Linked DNA regions of Macaca mulatta. The protein of the gene in region 1 purifies or fractionates together with the protein of each later gene. This does not show direct contact. Links are inferred from orthologs where the notes say so. Each region holds a gene or a part of one and is shown in the gene's direction. Other genes may lie near its edges. The genes, in order: TJP1 and OCLN.

The links.
Region 2: the proteins of TJP1 (region 1) and OCLN purify together in Homo sapiens (affinity purification with western blotting; 4 studies listed by BioGRID and IntAct, with this or other methods). This does not show direct contact. The link is inferred for Macaca mulatta from reciprocal best matches to the Homo sapiens genes TJP1 and OCLN.

What each region holds. Positions count from the first base shown.
Region 1 is NC_133412.1:8,709,946-8,716,838, forward strand, and holds part of TJP1 (tight junction protein 1), read left to right. Parts: intron 1-188; coding exon 189-663; intron 664-3,052; coding exon 3,053-3,270; intron 3,271-4,539; coding exon 4,540-4,683; intron 4,684-6,893. UniProt on the Homo sapiens protein: TJP1, TJP2, and TJP3 are closely related scaffolding proteins that link tight junction (TJ) transmembrane proteins such as claudins, junctional adhesion molecules, and occludin to the actin cytoskeleton.
Region 2 is NC_133411.1:77,572,110-77,579,754, forward strand, and holds the start of OCLN (occludin), read left to right. Parts: upstream 1-3,769; 5' UTR 3,770-3,995; intron 3,996-4,134; exon of another isoform or gene 4,135-4,245; intron 4,246-7,645. UniProt on the Homo sapiens protein: May play a role in the formation and regulation of the tight junction (TJ) paracellular permeability barrier.

The sequences.
Region 1 (6,893 bases):
ATGGTACCGCCTGTCAGTGCTGCCCTCATCCCTCAGCACCACACCTAGCCTCCGGGGCTCAGGAGTCAGCCTCTGGCTGTGCGACTCACACTTGGGCCTCGACTCCAGCACCAGGACAAGTTGAGCTGGGAGAGGGCTGTTACACCTTTTTTCAGAAAGGTTTTTAAATGCTTATGTTTGTTTTTCAGGTAATTCAGTGTCATTGGATTTTCAGAATTCCTTAGTGTCCAAACCAGACCCACCTCCGTCTCAGAATAAGCCAGCAACTTTCAGACCACCAAACCGAGAAGATGCTGCTCAGCCAGCTTTCTATCCCCAGAAAAGTTTTCCAGATAAAGCCCCAGTTAATGGAACTGAACAGACTCAGAAAACGGTCACTCCAGCATACAATCGATTCACACCAAAACCATATACAAGTTCTGCCCGACCGTTTGAACGCAAGTTTGAAAGTCCTAAATTCAATCACAATCTTCTGCCAAGTGAAACTGCACATAAACCTGACTTGTCAAAAACTCCCACTTCTCCAAAAACTCTTGTGAAATCGCACAGTTTGGCACAGCCTTCTGAGTTTGACAGTGGAGTTGAAACTTTCTCTATCCATGCAGAGAAGCCTAAATATCAAATAAATAATATCAGCACAGTGCCTAAAGCTATTCCTGTGAGGTAAGACTTTTGCCTTTGCTCAAAGCATTGCCCCTGTGATTTTTCTCATGTGAGTTTGTTGTAGTTTATTTGACTTGGGACTTTGAAGTGATCTTTTTAACTCAACCTTTAAACTGAAGAGTGTTGTTGCAATGAATGCTGTTACATAGAAGGTCCTCCAGGAGTTACAAGATGTTGGTAAAATAATAAAGCTAACAGTCATGTATGGTTGGTAGGTATTGTCATCATCCCTGTTTTACTAAAACTGAGGTTGAGTGACAGTAAGCAGATTGCCCAGGGTCACACAGCTCGAGTGAGGTGAGCCTCGATTTAGCTGCTGGTCATCCAACCTCTGAGCCCATGCTTTTTTTTTTTTTTTTTTTTTTTTAAAAAAGACAGAGTCTCCCTCTGTCGCCCAGGCTGGAGTGCAGTGGTGCGATCTTGGTTCACTGCAACCTCCACCTCCTGGGTTCAGGCGATTCTCCTGCCTCAACCTCCTGAGTAGCTGGAACTACAGGCGTGCACCACCACGCCCAGCTAAATTTTTTGTATTTTTAGTAGAGAGAGGGTTTCACCATGTTGGTCAGGCTGGTTTTGAACTCCTGACCTCAACTGATCCACCCACCTCGTCCTCCGAAAGTGTTAGGATTACAGATGTGAGCCACCACACCTGGCCTCTTTTTTTTTTTTTTTTAATCAAGACAGAGTCTCGCTCTGTCACTCAGGCAGGAGTGGCGTGATCTCAACTCTCTGCAACCTGCAACCTCCGCCTCCCAGGTTCTAGCAATTCTCGTGCCTCAGCCTTCCAAGTAGCTGGGACTACAGGTATGCACCACTATGCCCTGCTAGTTTTTGTATTTTTAGTAGAGGCGGGGTTTTGTCATGCTGCCCAGGCTGGTCTTGAACTCCCAGGCTCAAGTGAGCCTCCCAAAGTGCTGGGATTACAGGTGTGAGCCACTGCACCCAGCCGAGAACCCATACTCTTAACCAGCCATGGCCTCTTGTATTCTCCTGACCTGCTGTTAAGGGGCATGTGGAGGACATCTAAAAACGTTAAATATCTATGTTCCTCTTTCATTATTTGTTCCACAATGATGCTAAGAAGAAAAATAGAATAGCCCTGACTGTTTAAAGAGCAGCAGTTAGTAAGATGGCTGAGCAAATGAGACAGAGCAAGCCCTCCTGGAGCCTCCCTGCAGCTCCTCTTTCCTGTCTTTCATTCCGTGGCGATTGCCCGGATGGATTCTGGCCACACATTAGCTCATCTCACCCTCCTACAGCCAGTTCCATTTTCATACCACCGTAAAGCAGAAGCAGTTATAGGCAGGGAGAACCAAAGGTCAGGATGGCCACCTGAGGCTGCTTTCCGAGAGCAAGGATGGTTATGGCGGTCACTGCCTTCCTAGCTCTGCACATCCACCGGTGGTCAGGGACAGACACAGTTGACCCCTGCTATGCAGCTCAGGCTGCACTCTGCTCCCTTGATATTGTGCCGTAGGATGTCGTCCCTGGCACTCCGGTCATGCTGGAGTGAAGCTGCAGCTACCTTCATGTGATTCTGTTTTGTTGGTCTTTCTGCTCACCTTTAAGCCCTGGCTCAAAACTGTCCTTCAGGAAGTCTTGATAGCCTCTATTTTTGAAGCCGTCATTGATACCACATCCCCTTTGCCTTTGGTGTTCTGTGATTACTAAGTTAATCTACTGTCTCTCTTTTTGTGGATGTTTGGGATGTGCCCATACAAGGGTCTTCAGCTCATGGAACCTTGGAAGCCTTGCCTTCTGCAGCAGGGTGGGCACTTGGTCCTCAGGGATGCTGAGGCAGGACCATATTCATGTGTACTTAAAATCCTAGGGAGATGTTATCAAGTCTGAGATGCTGTCAGCTGTGAGATGCACCATTGTTTTGTGTCACTAAGAATGGAAGAACAGCCGGGCACGGTGGCTCATGCCTCTAATCCCAGCACTTTGGGAGGCTGAGGCAGGTGGATCATGATGAGATTAGGAGTTTGAGACCAGCCCGGCCAATATGGTGAAACCCCATCTCTACTAAAAATACAAAAATTAGCCAGGCGTGGTGGCACATGCCTGTAGCCCCAGCTACTCGGGAGGCTGAGGCAGAAAAATCATTTGAACCTGGGAGGCAGAGGTTGCAGTGAGCCAAGATCGTGCCACTGCACTCCAGCCTGGGCAGCAGAGTGAGACTCTGTCTCAGAATAGTAATAATGATAATAATACTCTCTGAGATAACCCTGTCAGTAAAATCTGTTGCCAGAAACTTACCTTGTTAAAGTAACTTCTTGATTATATGGAGAAACAAAAGTAAAATGAAAGCACGTAATACAGTAGTAGTAAAAGCAAAGCACCTGTGTACTATTAGGAATTCACTCACTAGCCATTTCTGAACTTTCAGTCCTTCAGCTGTGGAAGAGGATGAAGATGAAGATGGTCATACTGTGGTGGCCACAGCGCGAGGCATATTTAACAGCAATGGTGGCGTGCTGAGTTCCATAGAAACTGGAGTCAGTATAATTATCCCTCAAGGAGCCATTCCCGAAGGAGTTGAGCAGGAAATCTATTTCAAGGTCTGCCGAGACAACAGCATCCTCCCACCTTTAGATAAAGAGAAAGGTAAATGTGTTTATTTTTCTCCTTAGTTTTGATAACTTAAGAGTTGCCCTGTGTGCACTTCAAAGCTTATAGTGCTTGGCTAAGGGGGTAATGCAGCACCTCTCTCTGCCTCCACCCTGGGCCACTAATAATAGCATGTTCCTTTCATCAGGGAGGTCCTTTCAGATGAGTGCTGTAGCGAGGGGTGCCCTGGGGATGGTGTTGCAAGCAGGCAGGAGGTGGCCTGAGGCAAGGCTGTGGTGGCCACACCGCCTGCTTTTACTTTTGGTATGAAGTAAAAAAATGATGGCATAGGACAGGCCACGGGGTGTCTCTCACTTGTGCCTGCTGAGCAGCCTGGGCTGACCTGACCAAGTTTGTCTTTGAGTCCGTCAGCCTTTGGGTCTCTGGAGATGGGTTAGGTAACACCCACTCAGAAAGGCTTTGCTGTGTCTTCACCTGATTGGAGAACCTAAACGTCTTGACAGGTACTGTCTTACCATCACCCCAGAACCCAGCACTAGTACATGCTCGGCAGAGTGCACGGAGTCTCAGAGGAGACGACAGTATGTTTCTGAGCTTCTTAAGGAAACTGTTATTTTCATAATCCTCCTGGATCTATCAGGATATTGTAACGAACTGTGTCGTGATTTAGCATCTTTTAGCAGTGCTTTTACTTTCCTAAATCAGTTAACACTTTCTTACGTTTTGCCAGAATACTGATATCTGATTCTGTACTCTGATTTTGGGGATATCCTGTTTTAAAAACCAGTAGGACTGACTGTGTTGGCCCTGCATGAATCCTTTAAGCATCTATGGAGCAAATTTTAAAAATGGAAAATATGTCACATTTGTAACAAGTACATTTGAATATGTTTTATACTATAGACCCATATGATTGAATGCAGTAGCCACTACCTGCACGTGGCTACCTCGCACTTGAAGTGTGACAATTTTGGATTGAAAGATGCTGGAAATGTGAAATAAACATCAAGTTCCAAAGATACCATATATTGGTTACATGTTGAAATAACAGTGTTTTGGTTATATTGAGTTATAATACTATACTATTTGTTATCACCTGTTTCTTTTTACTTTCTAACGTGGCTACTGGGAAATTTAAAATTCCATATGTGTCTGCTGTTACATTTTTTTTGTGGTCAGTGCGATTGTAGAGAACTAACTGCATTAGGCTTTCAAGCATATAATTAGAAGCAGGGTGAGGAAAACTGGGGGTCTAGAAGAAAGACCACATCCAACCTCTCTGCCTATCCCCTTTTCCAACTCCAGGTGAAACACTGCTGAGTCCCTTGGTGATGTGTGGTCCCCATGGCCTCAAGTTCCTGAAGCCTGTGGAGCTGCGCTTACCACACTGTGCGTCCATGACTCCTGACGGTTGGTCTTTTGCTCTAAAATCATCCGACTCCTCGTCGGGTATGCTGTCTTCACTCTGTCCTTTGGGGCTTTGGGGACTGTCGTTGATTAATACCTGGGCTGGTGATGCTACCCATGCTGTGTGTTAGCAAATCTCTCCCTCTGTTCCTGTGGCCTTGTAGGCATCACCGGTATTTCCACATTTATTTATGGTGCATATATTGTAAATAAATTCCATGGAAAGATAGAAGAGTTGCTTCCTTTTAAAAATTGATCATTTGGGCCAGGCGTGGTGGCTCACGCCTGTAGTCCCAGCACTTTGGGAGGCCAAGGCGGGTGGATCACCTAAGGTCAGGAGTTCGAGACCAGCCTGGCCAACATGGTGAAACCCCATCTATACTAAAAATACAAAAATTAGATGTGTTGGCACATGCCTGTAGTCCCAGCTACTCAGGAGGCTGAGGCAAGAGAATTGCCTGAGCCAGGGAGGCGGAGGTTGCAGTGAGCCGAGATCATGCCACTGCACTCCAGCCCGGCCAACAGAGCGAGACTCTGTCTCAAAAAAAAAAAAAAAAAAAAAATTTAATAATTTGGCCAAATAATTGAGTATTTCTTGGTATTCAAAATGATTGATTCTGTCCAATTTTTCAGGATGCAGTGGGAGAATTGTTATTGTCCTGCACAAACAGGCATTTTTATCTTATTAAAATTAGTTCATTCCTTTCTATAACTATTTATATTTTTGGTTACTGTTGTTTCGTTTCTTTTTTGTTTGTTTTGTTTTGTTTTGTTTGAGACGGAGTCTTCCTCTGTCGCCCAGGCTGGAGTGCAGTGGCACGATCTCGGCTCACTGCAAGCTCTGCCTCCCAGGTTCAAGCGATTCTCCTGCCTCAGCCTCCCGAGTAGCTGCAATTACAGGAGTGCGCCACCACGCCCGGCTAATTTTTGTATTTTTAGTAGAGATGGGGTTTCACCATGTTGGCCAGGCTGGTTCGAAATCCTGACTTCAAGTGATCCACCCGCCTCGGCCTCCCAGCGTGCTGGGATTACAGGCGTGAGCCCCTGCACCTGGCCTGTTTAATTTCTTAATCTACAAAGTATGTATACCAGAGAAATTTAAAAGAATCTTCCATTGTGATCATACTTGGCCATGGTTTTTCAGTGTAATACTCTAAATTGCTTCTTTTATACACTATTTGTAAACAACTTTTTGCTCCTAAGATCATAATTTCAAAGCTTCCATTGCATTTTCACATTTCTCACTTCCTTGAGTGACTTAAGTCAGTTAACAATCAGAATTTTATTTTAGGTGTAGATCACTTTAAGCGAACCTGATTTAAAGTCCTGCTTCCAAATCTTTGATAAATCAGACGAGCATTATTTAGTTTTAGTTTGGTACAGTATGAAATAAAAGTTTGTGGTATAAAGATCATAGCAAGAGCATATTTTAATGTTACCAAAGAAAAAAATTACTTGTAAATACATATTTCCTCATATTTACAAGTACCGCATTTTCTGGAAAAATGAAATGCTTTTGGCTCCAGATATTGCTTAGGTAATGTCTAACATACTGTAGGCAGGGTTCTCAGCTGGCACTGTTGACATTTTGGCCAAATGATTATTGTAAGGGCTCTCCTGTTCATTGTGGGATATTTAGCAGCTTCCCTGGGCCTCTACCCCTAGATGCCAGTGGTAACAAGCAAACTGTCTCCAGATGTCCCATCTGGGGCAGGGCCGTTCCTGTTTGAGAGCTATTGCTGTAAGGGAAGCAGAAATCCACAGCTGTGACTCTCAGCTTGTTTGGATACCACAGAGACACATACTTGTCCCTGCCTTCTTCACATTTAATAGAAATCACCAAGAGCTTATTAAAAACTTAAATCCTGAGATCTAACTAACACCCTGTCAGTGAGTTTCTGAAGCTGCGTGATTAATTTTGTTGTTCAGCTGGAATCAGAGCTGAGCAGCTCTGGTGCAGTCTCGTTTCTTTGTTTGTTTTTTGTAAGGGGAAAGATGGTCTTCAAGAACTAGATTCTGCAGAACTGGGTTTCTCATTTGTTGGTCTATAGTTGAGTATGAGAAATGTGTCCTCATTCTCAGCTCAAATAGGTGACCATATAATTATCCTGCAGACTTTTGAAAGGGGGGAAAAAAAAGTGCTACTGATAATTATGTGGGCTCGGGTAAACTGGAACTGTCCCAGACATGAGATTGCCGTCACTCACTTGTATTCGTTTTTTGAAAAGTCAATGCACTTGATAATGTAATAA
Region 2 (7,645 bases), on another chromosome or scaffold:
GAGAGGCCAAGGCATGGGTATCACCTGAGGTCAGGAGTTCGAGACCAGCCTGACCAACAAGGTGAAACCCCCGTCTCTACTAAAAATACAAAAATTAGCCAGTCGTGGTGGCAGGTGCCTGTAGTCGCAGCTATTCGGGAGGCCGAGGTAGGAGAATCATTTGAGCCTGGGAGGCGGAGGTTACAGTGAGCCGATCACACCACTGCACTCCAGCCTGGGCTACAGATGAGACTCCGTTTCAAAACAAACAAACAGAAAACCAAAAAAACACTTAGCATAGTACTTATAACATGTTTTTCCCTGAGTAAATGGTGCTATTGTTATTCTTCCACCTGTTGCAGTTCCTGCTCAGGTGCTGAGTCTCTTTGTTTAAATGTGGATTCCTCCCAGGAGGATCTTGCTTAACACATAGGAATTGAGGAGATAAAGGTTTACTCATCTAGTGTAATCATCCTTTTAGAAATTGTCTTCCTAGTGGCTGCCCCATAAATTCTTCCATACACCTGTCCAAGGAAACTCTCCTGTGTGGACCAGGAGCCTCCCTCTTCATAATTGGGCAGAGATACCAGAGGCCTTTCAGGCCAGGCCCTCAGCAACTCCAAACTGAGTTGCCTTGGACACATACCAGTGCTTGAATTCATTTACTAAGTAGGCAAGGCAGAGTGGAAACCGTGGAACTATTTTAATCTCCCGTCTTTTCCCCTCTAAACCCTAGTACTAGAATGTAAGCCTTGAAATGCTACTAAGGAATGTGCAGGTTTCACAATGGCAGGAGGCCATCTGAGAGGAGGACAAGATTCCACAGGTACGTTGGATTTGGGAAACAGGGCTATAGTCATTCATTCATTCATCCAACACAAAGTTATAGAATTCCTATTTCAGGCAGATAGGATACAGCAATGGCTTGTTAAATTTATTGAGACTTGTTTCATGGCTCAGCATATAGACTGTCTTGGTGAATGTTCCACATTCCCACCAACAGACTTATAAAGATAGTATTGTTTATTATCATCTCAAATTTACGGTGGAAAAAAATGAGGCTTATGTAGTTTAATTTCCTTTAGTCCTACCCAGCTACCAGGTAGCAACACTGGAATTTCAAATGAAATTTCTGACACCATAATCTGAGCTCTTAAGTTTCTCTTTTACACATAAAAAAGGAGAAAAAAAATTGTTTTTTCATCTTATCATCCATTTGACTGCAGGTAAAGTCAACAAGCTTCTAATCATGGGGTTCTTCTGAGAATAATATTTACATTGCTCTGAGTCATGGGGATTTTCATTAAGTAATATCCAATAGTGGATACTACTCAATACTAATGTGAGTTGCCAAGAAGGAATATTTGGTAACAATATAGTAGTTAAATTTTGCTATAATTTATGATTATGTAAATTTTAGATTAAATTGAGCATGGCATCATTTAACATCCAACAAATTTTGTTTTGGTATTGAAGAATGATGTGTTTAAGTTTTAAGGCTGGATTTTTCTTTCTAGACACTTTCAACTACCAAATATATACAATATTGGGCAATAGTTAACTGTTCTTTTGATGCTGTGTTGTTTAGAAAATTAATCTCAAGCGAATAAAATAGAATTCATATATTTCAACTTAATGAATCCTATTATTCCATATGGATGAACTCAGAACTAACTAGAAAGTAAGTTTCACAGAGATTTTTGAGTTTTGTTCACTCATGTGTACAGAGCACTCAGAAAATAGTTGAAGGAATGAATTGGGAAAGCAAATAAAATATGAAAGCTAACCTTCTACCCAACACAACATGTCTTTGAGTTTAGGTTTAGGGTGGGAATAAGCAAAATAACATGATATGCATAAATTATTATCTTAAAATGATAAAAAGTTTAATTTAAAAACCTAATTTACCAAGAGAACTGAAAACATACATCCACAAAAAAACTTGTACACAAATATTCATAGTAACATTATTCATAGCATCCCCAAAGGAAAAACAACCCAAATGTTCATCAACAGATGAATGATTAAACAAAATGTGATACATCGATACAACGGAATATTATTCAGTTATAAAAAGGAACAAAGTACTGATACACACTACAACATGGATGAACCTTTAAAACATTATGCTAAGTGAAAGAAGACAGACACAAAGGGCACATATTGTATTATCCATTCATATAAAATGTCCAGAACAGGCAAATTAATAGAGACAGAAAGTACATTAGTGGTTGCCGAGGGATGAGGGGAGAGGGGAAATGGAGAGTGACTATTAATGGGCATGGGGTTTCTTTTGGGGGTGATTAAAATGGAATTAGATGGTGGTGATGGTTGTACAATCTGGTGAGTATACTAAAACCCACTGAATTGTACGTGCCCTTTAAAAGGGTGAATTTTATGGTATGTGAACTCTTTTATAAAGTGGAAAAAAACTCCTAAGATCTCCTCTTCAGAACATATCAAAATACATTATAAAATAATGGACATGTGTTTACAAATCTGAGAGTATTAGGAAATGTTCCCTTGTTTAATTATAAACCAAGTGGAATGTTTGGAGATTTCAGTAATCTGACAGGGAACATTAAGAGGATTAACCTGACTTCCCCAGTGTTAACAATACCAATTTAAACTGCATCATTCAAAAACTACATAGTCATATTAAAGCATTTGTGGCAATGACTTCCACGAAAAAAATACCAATTAAATTAATTACTCATTAAAGCTGTCATCATCTGAAATACCTCATATTTACATGGTGCTTTTACTTCCTTAAGTATGAATTGTGCCTTAAGATCTAATGTATGGGAGAGTCACATCTCCAACCATTTAATTAAAGGTAGAGAAGTGGGTGGGATTGGATAGAAATTTATTAGCAATGCTGACATTCCAGATTGGAACGCAAAGACAAGCAGGATTTAAGAAACCTAACAGTTCGCTTTCAATGCAGGTAGTTAAATGCCAAGAACTATAATTACCTCATCCTGGAGTACAATTTAAAAATATGTTCAAAAACAACAAACATACATAAAAACATACACAGTGTTAAGTGCAGACTATGAAATTTCCTTTGGAACCATAATCCAGATCAAGAAATAGAATACAGCACCCAGGACTAAGGTGCTTTTTCGTTTTCTTAAAAAAATAAACAAATAAACCAGGTTTATTTTGCTTTTTAAGTAGGGTTCTTAAAGCACTACAGGTTGGTAAACAAAGTATAAGGTGCTTTTTCTTAGGCCAAAGAGCCATAATAGTTTAAATCTCCCCGTCCCCAAGAGCGGACCAGTTACATTTCGGAACGGGTGGGCAGGGGAGGACCCTGAGGTGGTGATGTGTAAACTGTGTATTATGCACTTTAGCTTGCTGGACGGCAACTAACAGCTACAGTAGTTCACCCTCATTTTATCCCCACTAAGTAATTGTCTTATTTCTGAATCTAGAGATTCAGAAATAGCGCCAATATTTACACACGAGTTTTGAAATTTTCCCAGGAGTCTTTCGTGGGAGCAACACATCTAGATGCCTTTTTCCAGCAACAGTTCAATCAAATTTTGGAAGCAGAAAAGTGTCCCGAGAGGACGTGCCTTTCCTATCAAAGTGCTTAGTGCCTAGACCCTTTCCGGAGGAAACAGTCCCCTCCGGACCTCGTTCGACGTCTCTCCGTCAGACACCCAAGGTTCCATGTGAAGCAGGCGGAGCACCAAACGCACCCCTAGGTGGTCCAGGACCCCCATGCGTGCTGCCCCCTGGGAGCCCGCGCTGCTCCTCTGCGCTCCGCCCCTCCGGCCGGAACATCGCGCGGTTCCTTTAACAGCGCGCTGGCAGGGTGTGGGAAGCAGGGCTGCGTCCTCCCGCCCCCTCCCATCCGAGTTTCAGGTGAATGGGTCACCGAGGGAGGAGGCCAACACACCACACCTACACTCCCGCGCCCACCTCTCCCTCCCTGCTTCCTCCGGCGGAGGCGGCAAGAACCGAGAGCTAGGGTCAGAGCGCCGAGAAGCCCGTCCGGGACGCAGCAGGTGGGTCTCTCGGGGCTGGCCCGCAGGCTTCCCGCACCCCCCTACACGTTGGTGCGCATGCCCGGGGGCAGGGCCGGTTGTAGGGAGAAGGGGGAGGAGGGGAAAGAGAGAGAGGAGGGGGAGGAGACGTCCCCAGCCCAGTCCCTGGCTGCGCGCTGGCGGTCGGCGCGGCGTCAGGTGCGCCCGCCAGGTGAGCGCCCTCACTGGCTCGGTTGGTCCCCGGAGGGTCGGGCCCAGGTGCGGCCAGTGGGTGAGTGTTGGGCGTGGCGTCAGGGGCGCACTGGAGCCCCCAGGGTCCCCGTGGGGGGACCGCGGCGCCTCTGTTAGGGGAGGTGCGGGGGGGAGGACGCTCCGCGCTGGTTTCGGTGGCAGTTTCGTCCCCGGGCTGGGACTCGTGGGAACCGGAGAGGCGCGGGTCTGCGGAGAGAGCAGCACCGGCCAACTTGGGAGGCTGCCTCCCCGGGCAAGGGGCGGCTTGGAGCCGCCGATCAAGCTTTATTCCGCGGAGACGCTTAAAGCTAGCAGTGCCTCAGCGGCGCGGGCAACTTTTCACTTTTATGAGGCAGGACATTCCTGAACAGCGACGATCCTGCATCAGCTCTGGGGCTGCAGTTTTGGGGGGCGGCCCTCATGGAGAGGGGTCCTGCGCCCAGCTCGTTGGGGGTCCTAAGCTTGAGGCTGCAGCGAGAGACTGCTTGCTGGTCCGAGCCGCTTAGATCCCGGGGGGAATTTCATCCCTTCGGCTCCCACCCCACCCCACTCCTTTGGGTATCCCGGGGAGACGGGGGCTGGATTCAGTCTGTGAAATATTCCGGGAGTCACGGTGTGGGCCACACTGGCTACCTCGAATCCACTTGTTGGGAGTTGTGTGAACCCGCGCCGATTTAAGCTGGGGTTCACGGAGTTAATTTCGAGGGAAGCTGCTCACGCTTGGGATTCTCACCCGTGACCAAAAGGGCTGCCGCCAGGGGGGCGGAACTGCCTCCGGGCGGTGCCTGCCCAGCGAACGCAGGCGCGCGCTGCCCGGGAGCGCCTCGGGGCGCACGGACGCCGGGATCCGCGCCCAGCCGGGCCACGGAGTTTGGGGACCTCCGGGACTGGGCCGGCCATCGCGCCAGCCATGTTGCCTGCGTGGAAGGAAGCTTGCGGGGAGCGGGGGTCAAGGGCCAAGATGGCCTCTGCGCCTAGGGGTTGGGAGCTGCGCCGAGGTCTTCGTGCTCCTCGGGAAGCCACCGGGCCCGAGGGGAAAACCGCGGCATCCTCAGGCCGGACCCGGGGCTCGCGGGCTACACTGCCCGCTTGGGGAATTATCCCGGGCGAGGAGGCGGCAGCTTTCTAGGCCAGTTAGTGTGTGGCCCTTAGGCAACAGGTGTATTATTGGAATACCTGGAAAAGAGAAACGCTTCCCATGAAGGCACTTATGGTGATTTAGAAAACTAGGCATTCCCAAGTGTAACAATAATTCTTTTGCACTGTACGTATGAGTCTTTCTTTTGTTTTTATTATTATTATTATTTGCTTTTTTGAGACGGAGTCCGACTGTGTCTCCCAGGCTGGAGTGCAGTGGCGTGATCTGGGCTCACTGCAACCTCTGCCTCCCGGGTTCAAGTGATTCTCCTGCTCAGCCTCCCGAGTAGCTGGGATTGCAGGCACCCACTAGTATGCACGGCTAATTTTTGTATTTTTAGTAGAGACGGAGTTTTGCCATGTTGGTCAGGCTGATCTCGAACTGCTGACCTCAGGTGATCCACCCGCCTCGGCCTCCCAAAGTGCTGGGATTACAGGCAGGAGCCACCACGCCCAGCCTTTATGAATATTTTCTTAGTGGTGCTTTTTGAGTGTGTGGGGGCGGCACAGATATTTCCTCAAACAAAGCAACCCTTTTTTTTTTTTTTTTTTTTTTTTTTGTCGTTTTGCAATTTATTTAGTTATTAGGGGCCTCCTTTGTTAGGTGATGGAGCGGAGGATAGGGAGGTCGTTAAGACATGATTCTCCACCTTTTGGCAGCTTCCAGGCCATTTCGGGAAATAATGGGCAGTGTCTCCTGCACGTGAGGCACTGTGCTAAAAGCATTCTGTATTTTCTCATTTAATTATCCCAACAACTCTAAAAGGCAGACCTTAGTAGAACTCCGTTTTAAAAGCGGGCATATGCTGTGGGGGAAACGTGTTGCATGGGCTTGCCTGCAAACTGCTTCAGCTAATCTGGGAAGGAATATCAGAAGCAGCGGTCCTTGATATTCCAGAACCAGATTTGGGGGATTTTTCTGGACCTTTGTACCATTGACTAGTACCTGTAGCCTGATACAAGATTTCCCGCATTTTGCTTGATGTCATGGTAAAATTCTTTTTTCTTCTAAAGGTAATGTTGGAATTACTGCCTTTCCAAAATAATAGATTACTTTTAACCACATAAATGATCTGATGTAATATCTTTCACCTTCCCAGGAACGTCCCAGAAGGAAGTTTTCTTCAGTTGCATTTTAAGGCTTATTTGATTGGAATATCAGTGGATCTTTTTCATCAAATTACTATTTATAGAAATAAGAGAGTAAACAGACCATGTAGATTTCTGTTAGGCTTTTCGTTTTAACCCCTAGGCTTGCCGCTGTTCCGTAACCCAGTGATTCCAGTCTTGGCTGTAGTATGAATCACCTAGGGATCTTGTTAAAACACAGATTCTGATTGGGAGGTCAGGAGTGGGACCTGGGATTCTGCCTTTCTAACAGGCTCACAGGTGATTCTCAGACTGTTCTGTCCTCTTTTTCTCCCTTTCTCTTAGACTCTACTCAATTACATTTGACACACTGAAGTTGGAAATAAAGGAAAAAAAAATGCGTTTATTGGGTGTTGATTGGGTGTTGTGTGAAGAACTTCAAGGCATTCACTGCTGGATTGAAATCCCAACTCTAATAATTGACTTGGTTTTATTAATTGAGTACTCATTGACAATCACTTTGTGCCAGGGCTAGTTTCAGGGACCAGGGATATAAATGGTGGTCAAAATAGACATTCGATGCCTGGGATGCAGGCATTCCAGATGGGGTGGAGATAATACCTAAAATAATTTTAGGTATGAGGGCAGAGGAGAGTTTGCTCTGAAAAAACAAGTTTTGTGTGATGGAGTGAGGGACTGGGAGGGCATCTCCCAGAAGGTGGCATCTGAGCTGAGATGTGAACAGCAGGTGTCTGCTGTGTAAAAGATCTGGGCTTTTTAGACAGGAAATTGTAAGATCAATGTCCTTTTTGGATTGACACCATTATTGTAAACAGCAATTCTCAAAATATGTGGTGTGTTAAAAAATCACTTGGAAGGTTTATTAAAAATACAATTTCTGACACAGTCTATTACAAAATCTGCCTAACTTCAAATTTTTAGACAATTTAATGATGTGCCTATAATCTAAATCATTTAATATAAGGCACAACTTAAACTTTTTAAAGACAAATTGACAGTTACTGCATGTGCCCTAAAAGGAACAGACTTCTCTTAAATATGTTTATTTTTCACTTATTGAGAGTTTTCTTTAAAGAATAATTTGAGGGCAAAGCATTTTCAGTCTATTTTTTTCTACTATATATATATATATATATATATATATATATATTTTTTTTTTTTTTTTTTAAAAGATGGAGACGGAGTCTCTGTTG